Danio rerio: one gene and its partner. The protein of the gene in region 2 interacts with the protein of the main gene of each other region in a pairwise test. Links are inferred from orthologs where the notes say so. Each region holds a gene or a part of one and is shown on either strand. Other genes may lie near its edges.

The links.
Region 1: the proteins of l3mbtl3 (region 2) and ngb interact in binary tests that used the Homo sapiens proteins (3 or more experiments, as listed by UniProt). The two-hybrid records come from large-scale screens. The link is inferred for Danio rerio from reciprocal best matches to the Homo sapiens genes L3MBTL3 and NGB.

The regions. Positions count from the first base shown.
Region 1 is NC_133192.1:49,950,932-49,959,908, forward strand, and holds the start of ngb (neuroglobin), read right to left. Parts: upstream 4,650-8,977; 5' UTR 4,597-4,649; exon of another isoform or gene 4,572-4,596; intron 4,413-4,571; 5' UTR 4,271-4,412; coding exon 4,173-4,270; intron 3,485-4,172; coding exon 3,376-3,484; intron 835-3,375; coding exon 715-834; intron 537-714; coding exon 384-536; 3' UTR 1-383. UniProt on the Homo sapiens protein: Monomeric globin with a bis-histidyl six-coordinate heme-iron atom through which it can bind dioxygen, carbon monoxide and nitric oxide.
Region 2 is NC_133195.1:2,234,029-2,242,463, reverse strand, and holds part of l3mbtl3 (lethal(3)malignant brain tumor-like protein 3), read right to left. Parts: intron 8,281-8,435; coding exon 8,189-8,280; intron 7,418-8,188; exon of another isoform or gene 6,542-7,417; intron 5,795-6,541; coding exon 5,643-5,794; intron 5,386-5,642; coding exon 5,309-5,385; intron 2,560-5,308; coding exon 2,474-2,559; intron 1-2,473. UniProt on the Homo sapiens protein: Is a negative regulator of Notch target genes expression, required for RBPJ-mediated transcriptional repression. It recruits KDM1A to Notch-responsive elements and promotes KDM1A-mediated H3K4me demethylation.

The DNA of each region.
Region 1 (8,977 bases), on a different chromosome or scaffold from region 2:
ACGCTCACATGAAACATCAATACATCAAGACAGTCATTTAAGATAGCTTGAAGAAATACATTTAGTCATTACTATATGTACTTAGTCATTACTATATATACAAAGCAAACTTTGCTTTTGAAGTTTCAACCATTAACCATCTATATCCTGGACTTACTTCAACCTCCTAGGCTTCGTTATCCCTAACCACCTTCTTAGTCCTTAATCTGACCAAGTTACCAAAGTTAGGATTATAGAATGAGCCAAAACACAACTCATTTGAATAGATTTTCCCTTCAGCGGTCCGAGCCCCTCACTCTTTAAAAACATTTTTTGAGAAGTTACATCTGGTGACCTCAATAGCAATAAGATGTTCCAGAGTGAATCTCACATCTACTTCCTGCTCAGTTGGACTTGTGTTCACCATTTTTGGCCCAGCCTCGAGTCATGGCTGACACCACAATGCTGTACATGGTGAGCCAGGCCTGGCGCAGAGATGTTGTGTAGGCTGGTCCCAAACTGGACTGTAGCATATAGAGCAAGGACTCTCCAACCAACTGATGAAAACGTGAAAGAATCAAATCAATCACCTGATAGTCTGAAAATTCACTGTGACACAACTGTCAATCTCATTGTCATCTTTGACATTTGAGAGTTACAGCTGCAATATGCAATTTCCATCATCACAGATGACTAGCTAATGATGACTGGAACTTGCAAGCAAAGTGTACTCACAGCGAAGGACTGCGTATTCACTCCAACTGCTTGGTGCTTCCTTCCCAGGTTCAACAAGAAGTCCTCCAGTGTGTGTAGGTCATCAAGATGGCTCACAGCTGCATCAATCACTAACATCACCTGGACAGATATACAACCACTTGAGCTGAGATGAACATATTTATCTGGGATTGCACTTGGGCCAAAGTTAGTCAAGTAAAAGAAACTTATTTGACTACACTAGAGGGGTTATTTCCTGGAAAATCATCTTCCTGTAGAGGTGCCCAATCCTGTTCCTGGAGATCTACCTTCCCACAGAGTTCAGTTGCAACATTGATCAAACACACCTGTCTTTAATTACCAAGTGCTCCTTCAGATCCAACTTAGTTGGTTTAATTTTGTTTGATCAGATTTGGAGCTAAACTCTGCAGGAAGGCACTGTAGGTCTCCAGGAGAAGGATTGGGCACGCCTGTTGTAGAGCAAGGCTGTCAAACTTACTTACAGAGGGGTTACAGTGCTGATATATTCAGCTTGTTCCATAGTTAAATCCGTGTGATCCAGCAATTTAAGTCCTTCAGGAGGAAGGTATACCTCCTTTAAGAAGTATTTTTGCTTTAACCTTCAACCAAATCCATTAAGACATTTGCTTGTGCTAGTATGACTTGAGTAATCCTATGAAATCAGATTCTGTTCCAGGTTTGTTGAGCTCTGCAGAAAGGGTTTCTCCACTTAGGAGAGGTATGAGACACACTTGTCCTAAAAAAAAACTATGTCACTGTCTAGCAGAAGTAGGTATGTTTGGTCCTAGAGCAGGCGTGACCAAGCCTGTTCCTTGCGATCGACCTTCCTGCAGATTTCAGTTGCAACCCATATCAAACACACCTGCCTGTAATTATCAAGTGCTGTTCAGGTCCTAATTAATTGGTTCAGGTGTGTTTGATCAGGGTTTAAGCTGAACTTTGCAGGAAGGTCGATCTCCAGGAGCAGGGTTGATCACCACTGTCCTAGAGAAACACAGCCCTGTAGAGTTCCAGACAATCTTAATTAACCACACCTGAACAAGCTAATAAAGCAAGCAGGTGAGTTTTTATATTTAAGTTGGATCTAAACGCAACAGGAGTGTAACATTGTGGTACTGTACATTTACATAACTCTGCTCTATGGCAGCAGTTCGCAATCCTGGTCTTTGCAATAACACTCTCTGCACATTTTGCAGGTTTCTCTTGTTCAACAAACGTTATTTAGCTCATTAGAAGAGAGCTCTATGAAGAAATTGTGTTCCAATTGACGTTCTACATAGTTTTCCCTGCTCTAGCCCCCTGGCCCCTGCTCACAGGAAACTGGCTGATGTTTTCTACATTTAAAAACAAAGATTTGCACAACAGTGTTTGCAGCATCTTCAGATGAACTCATTAGTGTTAAGGGTAGTTAGTGTAACTGTAATTATTAGTCATTTCCTAAGAACTTTAATACCTTTGAATTAAAAATTCTTCTTTTAATCTGGAATCAAAAATATCCTGCAAAAAACATGTGATGTCCTCCACTTTTTAGGGCAATAACTATTGTCCTCCACTTTTCAGGGCAATAACTATTGTCCTCCACTTTCCAGGGCAATAACTAACATTTGAACTACAATGGAATATTTTGGGTTACCCAAAGAACCTTTCGTTTTGTTTTTTCTTAGTCTAAGGACCATTTTAATAATATGAAAAACCTTTTTACACTAAAGTATAGAATAATTTAGGCATGACACTTGCCCCTGAGCACTGAACCATCAACTTACCAATTTGACCCATTTACTCAATTAAATCAAGATTGCTACACCTTATGCTAAATGTTTGGTATGTAATGCTACCTGTTTCCTAATTTTAAGACTGCAAAGAACGATGTGGTCTCTTTGAGACCGGATTTTCTTGGCAACCTTGGAAGGACACAAAACACAGAGGCATCTCTGTGAGAATTAAAATGTGCTGATATTATTGATTGCTGTTGCTCAACAAGTTCTGCAGGTTTTCTCCATGCCTTATATTCATTCATTTATTCATTTTCTTTTCGGCTTAGTCCCTTTATTAATCTAGGGTCGCCACAGCAAAATGAACTGCCAATTTATCCAGCACATGTTTTACGCACCCTTCCAGCTGCAACCCATCTTTGGGAAACATCCATACACACTCATTCACACTCATACACTACGGGCATTTTAGCTAACCCAATTCACCTGTACCACATGTTTTTGGACTGTGGGGGAAACTGGAGCACCTGGAGGAAACCCACGCGAACGCTGGGAGAACAGAAACGCCAACTGACCCAGCCAAGGCTCACACCAGTAACCTTCTTGCTGTGTGGCGACAGCACTACCTACTGGGCCACCGCATCGCCCCATCTCTTATAATAAACTAAATTAGTAGTTCCACAAGGCATCACATTTGTGAGCTTGCAGCAAGAATCTACCCCTGGATTTCTAAATAATTATCTTAAATCAGCATTTAATGCATCCTCCATGCTAAGAACCCATCTAGGTACTGCCATGTATTCTTGATACCTGGTTTCTCTTAGTCATGGGATCTAACTTTTGCAGTAGTTGATAATGTAGAACAAGAAGAACACGAGCAGGCAAGATTTCATTAGAACACATACTGAGAATCGCCCCAAAAGTAGTTACGTTTGACCTCAGGGCTCACCTTGGTGACGTGCTCGAGGAACTCTGGGCTGGAGAGACATTCAGGTGCATCGCCACAATTTGTGCTGTAGCTGAAGAGAGTGAGTAGTGCAGGATCCAGCTCAAATAACCTATCAAGAAATGTTACACAAACCAGTCACAGGCCTGGATCTTGGTTATGGTTATTTCCTGTTTCTATAACATGAAGAAAAACGAAATGGTGCGATATGAGACATTTAGCCTTGAAAAGAACACTGAACTGTGTGCATCCCTTTTCTTCTGTAGCTATCAAGTTTTGAAAGAAAATCCTTTTCATCCTTCCCCGCGAGTTTGAAGAGGAATACTTGGTAGCATCCTTCCTCTGAGAAGGTGATTCTGATGAAAATGCTCTTGCTGCTCCCTGTCGCCAAGCAACAAGTCAAGCCTCTCACTGAGCTGCGGTTAGATGAACAGACAGCGGGAGACTGATAGGGAATGTTTGATGGATTAAAAAAGCTTACGCTGTACTTTGCTTGCCAATTTGCTACACCTTCATGACAAGTAAACTTATTGAGTTATGAAATGCAATGCAATTTGACTGCCTATTACTGTTTGTAATATTTCCTTTATTTGCACGAAATGTCATTGTTTTAAGAATGCATTACTTGTATGAAATTAGAATTTTTGACAAATGTCCCAATCTCAATCAAATCTAATTAATCAAATGCTCTGAAGATGTACACTGCATAACTTTCTGAATAAACACGCAGGCTGATTTGAATGACATTATCCTGAATGCGAAAGAGTTTAACAGTGCATGCAGCGTGATGGATACAGTACCTCGTGAACAAAACGATTCCATGTGGCACCTTGTTCTTCCCCAGACTCTCCCAGCTGTCCCGGATGAGACCCTTATCTTTTTCAGACAGCTTCTCCATTGTGACCCTTAGAATTGCTGTGATCCCAGTTGTCTTTCAATGGTGTCGCTTCAAAATGTTTTCTTCAGTTCAAAGTAGGATCTCCCGAATTCCCATTTCCGGACTTCAGACTTCCAGAGTTCGGGCTTCAGGTTTGACCCCCCTGTGTAGGGCACAAATTTGCAGATATAATTCGGCAAACAAGTCTTATCAGAAGAGCGTGCATCAGAAAGCCTTTTAAATACATTTCATTGACAATTGAAGTCATGCATTCAACATTCAATAGAGAAGAAACCTAACTTAGCTCTGACTTTATACTCACAACAAACAGTGTGAAGCTGACGTACCTTGCCTTCACTGCTCTAGAGGTGACCTTCTTCTCTCACTGGCTTCGTCTGTCTTTCTCTGGCATTAGGATTTCTGTTTGTTCACTGCGAATATGTATATGTCAAGCCTGCAATCCTTGTGTTTGCTCTCTCTCTCTCTCTCTCTCTTTCTTTCTTTGTCTCACTCTCTCTCTCTCTCTCTCTCTCTCTCTTTTCCTCTTTGCTCCCCCCGCTCTCTCACACACACATGCAAACACTCACTTTCTCTCTCTTTATCTCTCCCTCTATCTGCTCCCTCTCCCCGCTCTGCTGCATGCAACCTCATAGATGCTGCTTGATGTGCATTCAAACTAAGATGAAGAAACGTGTTCTGCAACCTTCTGAAAGCAAAAGACGTGCGCATATTTCAGTACACTTTGTCTTTTTTCAATCCACCACATTGAAACTGTCCTAAATGGCTCATATGGACTGTCGATAAGGACAGAATGGAAATATCTCTGATCTCCACTGCTCCTAATGTAGTTCATGTTACGAGCCATAGCTCCTCCTACAGGTGAGAGTCTGGCCTTTAATAAAATTACAACACTTTCAGACACTCCAGATGCATTTATGATTGAAGAGCACATTTGAGGAGAACTAATTTGAAGAAAATATTGTGTACTGGAGTGAAAGATGTTCATTTTCAAACTAACAAGAATTGCATAATGTTTTTGTGAGCAAAATGTGAAATTTTTTTAATTCACTATTCTTGGTGCTTTGAAACAACTCCAATGTTTAAATTAAGATTCAATTTGTCAATAGGAAATAATTATGAAGATTTTTAGGAGCTACAAAAATAAGTAATTTTTTTATTAAATATGGACAAATCCAACTTTAACTCAATGGTTGTGTTTGTGCATATTCTATTAAAAATAACAATGAAACAACCCAGTTTTTTTTTTTTTTTTTTTTTTTTTTTTTACAAAACCATTGGAGCACTGGTGTGTTATGTAACTCAAAGCATTCATTTTGAATGAACCTTCAATAAGACTCTGGAATCTTTTCAGGGAGTGATTCGTTCATCTACCAATTCGCACATTTGTGCAGGTGGTATAGTTCATTTCAAATCTTTTGAGTCGTTCATCGCGGAAAGGCAAAAGCCAATCATATGTGTTTAGAGCCAGAAAAAGAATTGATCCATTCATCTATCGAGTCTTCTATCGGGTCTGAGTCATTAGTTTCTCACAGGCCAATCATATGCATTTAGAGCCAAAAAAAGAATTAATCCGTTCAACTCTCGAGTCCTCGGGATTGAGTCATTCTGTCACGTGATGAACGAACAACTCAAGAACCAGAAGATTCGAAAGGTGAACTAATTATCATGGCTCCTATCGGCTCAGACTGTGCACATTGGTTAAGATTATATGTGACTGTCAGTGTAACGTGAACGAACCACTGACATTTCAAGACATGAAGAGGTGAGCTAAGCAAACAGACAACAATACCTTCATAATAATAATTATTCCCTACATTTATATAGCGCTTTTCTGGCCACTCAAAGCGCTTTACACAATGGGTGGGGGATCTCCTCATCCACCACCAGTGTGCAGCATCCACCTGGATGACGCGACGGCAGCCATTATGTGCCAGACCTGATTGGTGGAGAGGAGGAAAGAGGAGAGAGAGTGATGATATGCCAATGACAGATTTAGCCAGAATGCCGGGGTTAAACCTACTCTTTATCTAAGGACATCCTGGGTTTTTTAATGACCACAGAGAGTCGGGACCTCGGTTTAACGTCTCATCCGAAAGACGGCGCTCACTGAGCAGTACAGAGTACCCGTCACTATACTGGAGCATTAGGATCCACACAGACCACAGGTTTAGCGCCCCCTGCTGGCCTCACTTACACTACTTCCGGCAGCAACCTAGCTTTCCCATGTGGTCTCCCATCCAGGTACTGACTGGGCGCAGCCCTGCTTAGCTTCAGTGGGCGACCATGTGAGAGTTGCCGAGAGCTAGCTGCCGGCATAGACAAAAAAAAATAAATAAAAAAATTTAAAAATAGACAAAAGAGCAGGTAAACATTGAATTATTATTTTCTTCTTCTTACAGTATTCTATTTATGACTTATTTGACGTGTGATCAACGTTTTAGGCTAGTTGTAGATGTGTTTGGAAGCAATTCATAACATTTTAATAATATTTTGGCAAATTGAACCAAATGAACAAAATGACTCGAAAAAAAGATTTGATCATCTCGATAACCGAGACTCAAAGATCCAAGTCAGTAAAATTATCCGAACTTCCCATCACTAATGTCTTGCGAGTGTTTGAGGTCAGTAATTTCTTATGTAAAGAAATTACATTTATATTACGTTAGAATTTTAGGTAACAATTTATAATAACTACACACTATAAATCATTTATTAAGCATTAGCAAATAGTGAATTCATTATTTGTTAACCATTAACATACATTAATAAGTGTTAGTAAGCAGTTTATAACTGCAGCTACAAATGCTCCATTCTTGACTTATTAGCACCTATATAATGTGGTTAATAATTGTATTTTCATACTCTGTTAATGATTTACTTTTCATTACTAAATTAAGTATCGAATTATTTACAAACCGTTTGTATTTAAGAGTAGTTGAGGGTTTTCAGGATCATTCAGAATGAGTTAGTAAATGATTAATACACTATTGAAATCAACATTTATATGTCGTATTATTCAGGCATATACTAATAGTTAACTAATATGTTAATAAATGCTTTATTAACTCAACTTCATGCAGTTTTGTGACCTAATCTAAAATGAGGACTATTGATGCTTTATAAATCCCTTATAAATGACAAATAAAGGCTCAGAATCAAATGAACGATAATCTGTGCAATTTTTCTAAAAAGTAAAATTACAGTATAGTTTAAACAATGCAAAATAACAGGAGTGTCAAAATATGACATCCATCTGGATAAAACAACAACAATGAAATAATTTAACATTATAATAAGATGCAATGTTTAAACTCTACAGTGATTCTATTTTTCATTTGAAGAGCAGTTTTATTTGTGTATCTTTAAATGAATAATGTCTTTTTTTCTTGTTTAGAATTTAACTGAGCCTTTATTTGTTTTATTTCGGCTAGAATAAAAGCAATTTTTATTTTTTTAAACACCATTTAAGGACAAAATTATTAGCCTCTTTAAGCTATTTTTTTTTCTCGATAATCTACAGAACCAACCATCGTTATACAATAACTTATCTAATTACCCTAACCTGTCTAGTTAACCTAATTAACCTAGTTAAGCCTTTAAATGTCACTTTAAGCTGTTAAGAAGTGTCTTGAAAAATATCTAGAAAAATATTATTTACTGTCATCATGTCAAAGATAAAATAAATCAGTTTTTATAAATAAGTTATTAAAACTATTATGTTTAGAAATGTGTTGAAAAAATATTCGCTCCGTCAAACAGAAATTGGGGAAAAAATAAACAAGCAGTCTAATAATTCAGGGGGCTAATAATTCTGACTTCATCCCACTTCACTTACACTGGGACATTGGTACAGAAAGAAAAAAACTGATCAGATGATGTTAGTGACCTACCCGGATTATAAACAGTTGAAGTCAGAATTACTAGCCCCCCTTTTAATTTTTTTTTTCTTTTTCAAATATTTCCCAAATGATGTTTAACAGAGCAAGGACATTTTCACAGTATGTCTGATAATATTTTTTCTTCTGGAGAAAGTCTTATTTGTTTTAATTTGGCTAGAATAAAAGCAGTTTTAAATTTTTTATATTATATTATTAGCCTCTTTATATATATATATATATATATATATATATATATATATATATATATATATATATATATATATATATATATATATATATAATTAATTTTTTTTTTATTGTCTACAGAACAAACCATCGTTATACAATAACTTGCCTAATTACCCTAACTTGCCTAATTAACCTCATTAGCCTAGCTAAATATCACTTTAAGCAAGAAGTAACTTGAAAAATATCTAGTGAAATATTATTTACTGTCAACATAGCAAAGATAAATTAAATCAGTTATTAAAAATGAGTTATTAAAACTATCATGTTGTGAAATGTGTGGAAGAAAACCTTCTCTCCGTTAAACAAAAATTGGGGGAAAAAATAAAGAGGGGGGGCTTATAATTCTGATCTTAACTGTACATGTAGGAGATTTGATAAATAAGATGGTGTTAGACCATTAAAGGATTTATAAACAAAAATGAATCATTTAAAATCAATTCGTGACCTGACAGGCAGCCAGCCCAGAGAGGAACAAACTGTGGATATGTGTTCATTCTCAAGAGTCGCTGTCAGAAGTCTAGTAGCTGCATTTTGGACTAATTGCAGTCTATTCAAGGCATTTTGACTGATACCCACATAA
Region 2 (8,435 bases):
TCTCTCGTGTTTCTCATTGGATGGAATCACTGTTTTATTCGCAAATCTTTCATGCGATATTAAAGTTTCATGCATACATTTAATTTGCATCTTTGGATGTAAACACAGCTATACGCTTATTTCACGCGGCCGCCATTTTAAAGAACCAAAGCGAGGCTGCGGTGGGAAGAAACCCGGAAGTATAGGACCAGCACTGTAAACATTGCAGTAACATGCCGTGTACTATAAACCTCCAGCTGTTGCCGAGATTTCAAAATGCAGAAATGATGTAACCATCACTTTAATATTATTCAGTAAGTTTATTTTAAACAATTAAAAGCAATTTAGCATCAAACAACATCACAATCTCAGTGATGTGCTTAAGTGTCCTCCTGGGCTTCAGTTCATGGCACCAGTTAAAACACTGTGAGGTTTCCTGCTTCAGTCTATGTAACCCGGTGAGCGATAAAACACTGCAGTCCTCTGCAGCACCTCCTCGTGCTGTCTGTAATAGTGTTGTCCTGGGGTCCGTTCTTCGTACCTCGCTTAAATGATCTAAGATTATTTGGCAGATCCTGGATCTTTTAATCTTGATAACTGATCTCTCGCTAATTTGGTTCTTCAAACAAGTTTGCGAATCAGATTAGAATGTCTGGATAAACTGATCTGAGATCGCTGCGTGTGTTGTGAAGGACAGATCTATCGATCCTCGAAATCATGATCAGCAATGCAACGATTGGCTGACGGCACAGCAGCGTAATGACATCATCTGATTAATATTCAATTATCCATGTGAGCAAAATTACATCAAATTAGCAGTAAACGGCTTGTTAAATATGACACGCGATAACCTTCCACATTTGTTGTGAGCTGCAGGCCTTACACTTTCATGTGTCAAGAGTATTCATCATGTATTTTAATGCATATCAATGTATTTAATTCGACATTTAGAAAAGATTTTCTTTATTATAGTAGTTGTTTTTTTTAATCGGTGTAAAGAATAACGTGTTGTTTACAAAAGCATTTTGATATTGGTAAAGGCGTCTGCAACTTTTGTGACGCATCAAATCACTGGCATATTAACTATCAAAGCATGTTTATGACTGCATAAATGTATTATTGCTTTAAAAAAAGTGACATATTGCATTTCTATTATACACAATTTGTACTAAAGCGATCTAAAAAGTTCATATCAATAAGTTTTCTCTTTGCACCACCAGGTGGCAGTCTATGTACTTTCATTTCGGGGTGCAGATTGCATAAGTTTTATTAATATATTTAACTTTATTTATTTTATTAATAACTATAACTTTATATATATAGTTAAAAATATGTACCATTTTCCCAAGTGTATATAACTACTACTGTAAGAAAATATCAGAATTCAGAACATACTTTCTGTATTATCTTTGCTTGAACTGAGCCGATCTAATCCTGTTTATATGAATTGAACCTGCTCCCGATCAAGTTTAAGCTAGCAGAACTGTTGCTATGACAACAACTCTCGGATCAGCTTTGAAGAACGAAACGATCCTGGATCTTGTCAAATCGTCAATATCCAAATCCAGCTAACTGAATAATCCACGTACGAAGAACGGACCCCAGGTACTGAAGTTTTAAACCCGGCTATTTCCCGCTTACTGCTCTTCACCCAGTGCAAACACAGATACACGGAGACTAAAGCGCGAAGCAGCCTTGCCTTGAAGTTTAGTCGAATCAACAAGCAGATCGCTCCAATCCTCTGTCTGTGTTGTGTCTGTGCTCGGTAAACAGTGGTGAACTGATGATCTCTCGGCCAATCACAATCATTTCTGTTGAACACTTGACCACAATGGCAAATCAGCACTGTTTTAAGAAAGCCATCAACAGTGCCTTTATGTTCGCGGGAAATTTATGTTTTTTTCTTTTATTCAGTATCGTAATAAGTCTAATATAATGAAAGAATCAGTTTATTAACTCGAGTTTGATAAATAGCATCTAAAACGTGTGTTTGGGAAAGAAAACATTAGCTAACTAGTGCCATTTCCCTTAACTTAGCTGAAAATGACCTCTGATATCCCTTATTATATTCACCTCCGGGTCACCCGGAAGGCGGTGAAATGATAAAATTGTGTCACTTTCTCTTCGCTGATAAGCTATATAGCCAGTTACACAACATTCCTATGTAACTCCCAATGATACTTCCCGGTTTCTTCCCACCACAGCCTCGATTTCACTTTTGAAAATGGCGGCCGCGTGAAATCAGTCTACAGACAGGATTTGATTTAACAGTGAATAAAGCCCATAATCAGTACCTGAGGTTGTCACTCTCGCAGTAGTTTATGCGGTTGTTGTGTCGCAACTTCACAGAAATAATAATCGTTTCTAAAATAAAACTTTTGTGCATCACCGTTGCAGACGAATGACAAACACTTCTTGTGGCATGGAAAATATTTCTTCAATCATGTGTCGCGGCATTGTGTGGCTGGAAATGTTTGGCCAAACACACACTCACCACTTTGAAGGCTCGAGCAGGAGCTGGTAATGAGCTGGTCTCGGCCAAGTATTTCTCCCAGGAGAAGTTGTTCGCATCGGGGTATCCTACAGCACAGATCACACACACATTCAGGAGCTGGTGGAGATGAATTTATTAAATATGCACTCTTCATTTCTGTCAATTCAAATAATTATGATGGTATATCTCACTGGTTATTAAGGTCCATTGTTAAGCTGGACATTGACACAAAGTTCACAATTCAATACAGTTCACAAGATTTGATCCATTTTTGATCTCGATTTTCGAAGGTTGCGTCTGAAATCACCCACAACTCAGTGGGTTCTGCATTTGAATGTAAATGCACTACTCGGCTGCTACAAAAGTACATTCTACACTGGATGAATGTCAGTTGTATGAATTGAGCTCGGACGTTCTACATCCAGCATTTTAACATGATCACGTGACCAGTTGCATCACTTCACTCCCATTCATGAATTCTTTCATGGTGCATCATGGAATAGAGTGCACCCGATGCGCCGGAAGCAGTAGGTCATACAGGAACTTCTCAGATACTGTTTTTCCAATTCTATGAATCCAGACATACTACTCGGCTCACATACTGTTTCAGCATACTATATAGTATGGGTATGGGCGAGGCAGTGGCGCAGTAGGTAGTGCTGTCGCCTCACAGCAAGAAGGTCATTGGGTTGCTGGTTCGAACCTCAGCTCAGTTGGCGTTTCTGTGAGGAGTTTGCATGTTCTCCCTGCCTTCGCGTGGGTTTCCCCCACAGTCCAAACACATGCGGTACAGGTCAATTGGGTAGGCTATGTTAGTCTGTAGTGTATGAGTGTGTGTGTGAATGTGTGTGTGGATGTTTCCCAGAGATGGGTTGCGGCTGGAAGGGCATCCGCTGTGTAAAAACTTGCTGGATAAGTTGGTGGTCCATTCCGCTGTGGCGACCCCGGATTAATAAAGGGAAAAACTAATAAGCCGACAAGAAAATGAATGAATGAATGAATGAATATAGTATGGAAGTGTGCGATGTTGGACGCAGCTAACCTCTTAAATACACACTCTTCAGTTCTGTCTGTTCGAATTAATTATGATTCACAAAATTTGATTCAATAATAAGTCATATCAGGTACCGTACATGTATTTTACTCACATACACACACGAAAAATACGGCATACAGTTGAAGTGAGAATTATTAGCCCCCGTGTTTATTTTTTTCCCCAATTTCTGTTCAACGGAGAGCAGATTTTGTCAACACATTTCTAATCATAATAGTTTTAATAACTCATCTCTAATAACTGATTTATTTGATCTTTGCCATGATGACAGCACATAATATTTGACTGGATATTCTTCAAGACACTTCTATACAGCTTAAAGTGACATCTAGGGCTCTATTTTGAAAGTCCATGCACAAAGTCCAAAGCGCAGGGCGCAAAGGCATTAAGGGCGTGTCCGAATCCACTTTTGCTATTTAAAGTATGGGAAAATCCGCTTTGCGCCATGGCGCATGGTCTAACAGGGTTAAGCTTATTTTCTTAATGAGTTATAGGTGTATTTTATGAGAATGAACCATAGTCTCATCTCCCATCCCCTTTAAAGAGTCAGTTGGGTCGCGGCATAAGCGCATTTGGTATTTACATGGCAGACTTTGTAAACTGAACGCTTCAATGGCGAGAAAACAGTTAAACAGAGCATCTGCAGGGGAGAATAAGAGATGAGCCTCCTCATTATTTACTTTCACATTCACTTTAGTGAATAGGGAAAGGTGTTGTACGCAGACATCCATTAGCCTTTACATAATTAATTTTGTTTGTTAAGCGCAAAGATTAGTTTCAAAACTGTTTCTAAATTCAGTTCTAATTTCCAGCAAATGAATAAATGAACAATAACAACGAAGTGTGTTCAAAAACCTGAGTTATGTCCTAATACACATGCTGAGCCCCATATGGTCTAAAACCTGACAGGTGGACAAATCTAAGCTTGTTTTTTTATTAAAAACAAATATAAATATGCATATAATAAATAATACTGCTAATAATAATAACATTATACAAAAGCAAATTGTCATGAATAAACTGAAAAAGCCGCCTGAGATGAAGAAAGCATGAAGGCAGTGATTTTTATATTTATGTAGGCTAGAAAATAATATGTTTTGTAATATTTTAATCCTTTAACTCTTTTTCATATGTAAAGATATTTGCGTATTGCTGTACATCATGTCTGTATTAAGCAATGTTTAAGAGAGGCGCACAACTAACACGCTCTGCGCTGGACTATAGACCTGCTTTGATCTGGTATATTGTGCAGTCTATTATAGTTCCTTAAAATAGCAACACGCCAGCAATGCATCTAAACACACCTCCTTTATTAGACCGGAACGCCTATGGGCGCACGTATGAGCGCAAATGCATTTGCTATTTAAACAGCGTGGTGCAAAATGTCAAAACGACTCTTGCGCCAAGCTGAAACTAGCAAACAACTATTGCGTTGTGCCTTGTGCCACATTGCGCCGGGTGCATGATAGGGCCCTCAAAGTTAAAAGTTAATTAAAGTTAATTAGGCAAACAGTGGTTTGTCTAAGACAAAACAAATATTGATTAAGGGGACTATTAATATTGACCTTAAAATGTTTTTTTAATAAATTTAAAACTGATAAAAATAAAACTAATAAGACTATCGCCAGAAGAAAAAGTATTATAGGAAATACTGTGAAAAATTCCTGAATCTGTTACACATCTTTTGGGAAATATTTGAAAAAGAAATCAAATGAGGGTAGTATTTTTGACTTTAACTGAATATTAGAGAGCCTGAGACTGGTGTGGATGTGTTTACTGACCTGGAGGGGTGCTGAGGGTCCTGCCGTTCTCCTGACACCAGCCAACTGGGTGAATATAAGGACTGGTGGCATCACACCTGCACAAAAGAAGAAACACACACATGTACCTCAATACAACTAGCAAAACAACAATCAATATCTATGTCATGCAGCATAAAGTAAGGCTTTAAGCATTCTTGATACATGTATTATTAAACACACTGAGCTTTTGACTTATAATTGAAAAATAAAAAAAATAAAAAAATAAATCACAGGACAGCAAATCATTTGAGTGTGATTGTGTGCAGGAAATGTCATTATCACACACTTCAGAGCGTCGTCATGGGGAATTTACCAGTAGTCGTAACTTTCCTCCCAGTTGTCAAAGTGCACCAGGAAGCGGCTGTCCACCATGTCCGTAACCGTGGCGACGCAGATGAAAGTAGGATCTTTCCTGCAGACGGCCTCCAGCTTCATGCCAACCCTGAAACCTGATGGAGTCACCGTCTGGAGGACACACACAAACACACACTATATTAAAGTACATGAAATCTAAAAGCAACCATAATGATTCTGTTAGCTCACACTGCTAGTTTAGTGGTGAACAATTCATCTGTGCATGTCAATAAGAAAGAAAACAACAGATTGCTCTTGGAGTCTTTAATGCACTTCCTGTTTGTTGTTAGTTAAATTCTCAGATTAGGTCTGTCTGAGGTGTTGGGCGGGGCTAACATACATAACCACGCCCCTCCAGCGGTCAGTTTAGACAACACACAGAAATGGTGAACAGGAGGAGTCTGTAAGCTGTAATAACTCTCCCCAAACCCTTTTTCCAGTCTTTCTGAATGAAACGCCTACTTTACTACAGCCAATCAGCTTGCAGTAGAAAAAACAAGCCACACCCACTGTTTACTCATTTTTATATACAGTTTCTCCAGAAACTGCGTCACAGCTTCAGGTTTATGTGGACTTTAACTCTACATACAGTTGAAACCAGCAGTTTACACACACTCTAAAAAAAGGAACATAACCATTTTAAAAGATGTCTGATGGTAAATCATACTAAACGTTTACTATTTTAGATCTGTAAGGATTACCTGAATTATTTACATTTGCTAAATGCCAGAATAATAAGATAATTTTTTCTTTCTGAGAATTTTCTATTAATTTCTAGACAGTCTAAAGTTTACACACATTTCCTTGGTATTTTTTTTAGCTTTGCTTTTAAACTGTATAACTTTGGTCAAATGTTTTGTCTCCTTCCACAAGCTTCTCACAATAGTTTGCTGGAATTTTGGCCCATTCCTCCTGACAGAATTGGTGTAACCGAGTCAGATTTGTAGGTTGTCTTGCTCGCACAAGCTTTTTCAACTCTGCCCACACATTTTCTATAGGATTGTGATCAGGGCTTTGTGATGGCCACTCCAAAACATTCACTCTGTAGTTCTTAAAGCACATATGAACTAATTTGGCAGTATGCTGAGGGTCATGGTCTGTTGGGAAGACTCATTTGTGGTCAAGTTTTAATGTCCTGGCTGATGTCTTGAGATGTTGCTTCAGTATTTCTCCATAATGTTCTTTCTTCATGATGCCATCTATGCTGTGAAGTGGACCAGTCCCTCCTGCAGCAAAACAGCCCCACAACATGATGCTGCCGCCCCCATACTTCACAGTTGGGATGGTGTTTCTAGGCTTGTTGATTTCCCCTTTGTCCTCCAAATGTAACACTGCTCATTATGCCCAAACAGTTCAATCTTAGCTCCATCAGAGCACAGGACATGTCTCCAAACATGAGTCTATTCCCAGTGTAATTCAGCAAATTGTAATCCGGCTTTTGTGTTGATTCTGGCTTGTTGATTCTCCATGTTGTCACACAAGGAAGCAGTGTGTTTGAGCTTTTCCTTCAATACTATTCTACAGCTGTGCCTCACATGAACTCAAATGTTGTCAATTAGCAAATCAGAAACGTCCAAAACCCTGACATCATCATCTGAGCTTTTCCAGAGGCAGAATAATCTGATTGCTATAAACTTGACTTTCAACAAGAGTTATAACAATTTCTCAAACAATCTCTCTCTCATTATTCTGCTATTAAGCAGAACAGACACAAATGTGATCATCCTTACTTACCTAAAAGAGAAAAACTCTAGTCACATTAAACATCTGACTTTTTTAAATGGTTATGTGCCTTTTTATCCAGTGTATGTAAACCTTTGCGTACAACTGTATAACTAATGGGAAAAACATCCAAAGATCGGTTCTTGCACAGTGGATAAAGGAAATGGCTGATAATCTCACTCTTGAAAAATGAACATGTGTAATCAGAGAAAAAATAAGTGTGGTCCTTTTTGGTCACTTCATAAAAGGATAAATAAAAACTGGATGTCTTTGGAAAGATGTTTGCAATTTAAAATTCAATGCAATAATGTGTTTTTTATTATTATTATTGTTACCAATTATTTAATTAAGTTATTATACACACACATGCACACACGCACATTAGTCAATTTATTTTTGTATATAATATTGTATTTTAGAAAATATTTGTCGTTCTATAACTTATTTTAAATGGTATTTCTGTTTAATAAATGTTGGGTTTTAAAGGAAACATTCAGTTGCGCTGGCATCTCTGTGCTGTAGCTGTTAAATCACAAAGGGTTTAGCTTAAGGCACGTGTGTGTTTATGTCTTGCTGAAGTGAAATGAAGTTAAATGAATTAAATGAAGAGAAACAGCGCCATCTGCAGACACACACACGCACACACGCACACACACACACACACACACACACACACACACACACACACACACACACACACACACACACACACACACACACACACACACACACACACACACACACACACACACACACACACACTTCTGTGGTTTCCGCACTCACCATGTTCTGGTTGTGAAACAGGGCTTTGGGTGCCGTCTGGATTTTATTGAGCTTGATGTAGGAGGACCAGCTGAACTCTTCATCCTTCATCCCTACACACACATTCATTTACACACAAATTAGTACACTATATATTCACACACATTCATACACACAATCTAATATATACACACACACATTCATATGCACACAAATAATATATATACACACACACACATTCATATGCACACAAATTATTATGCTATAT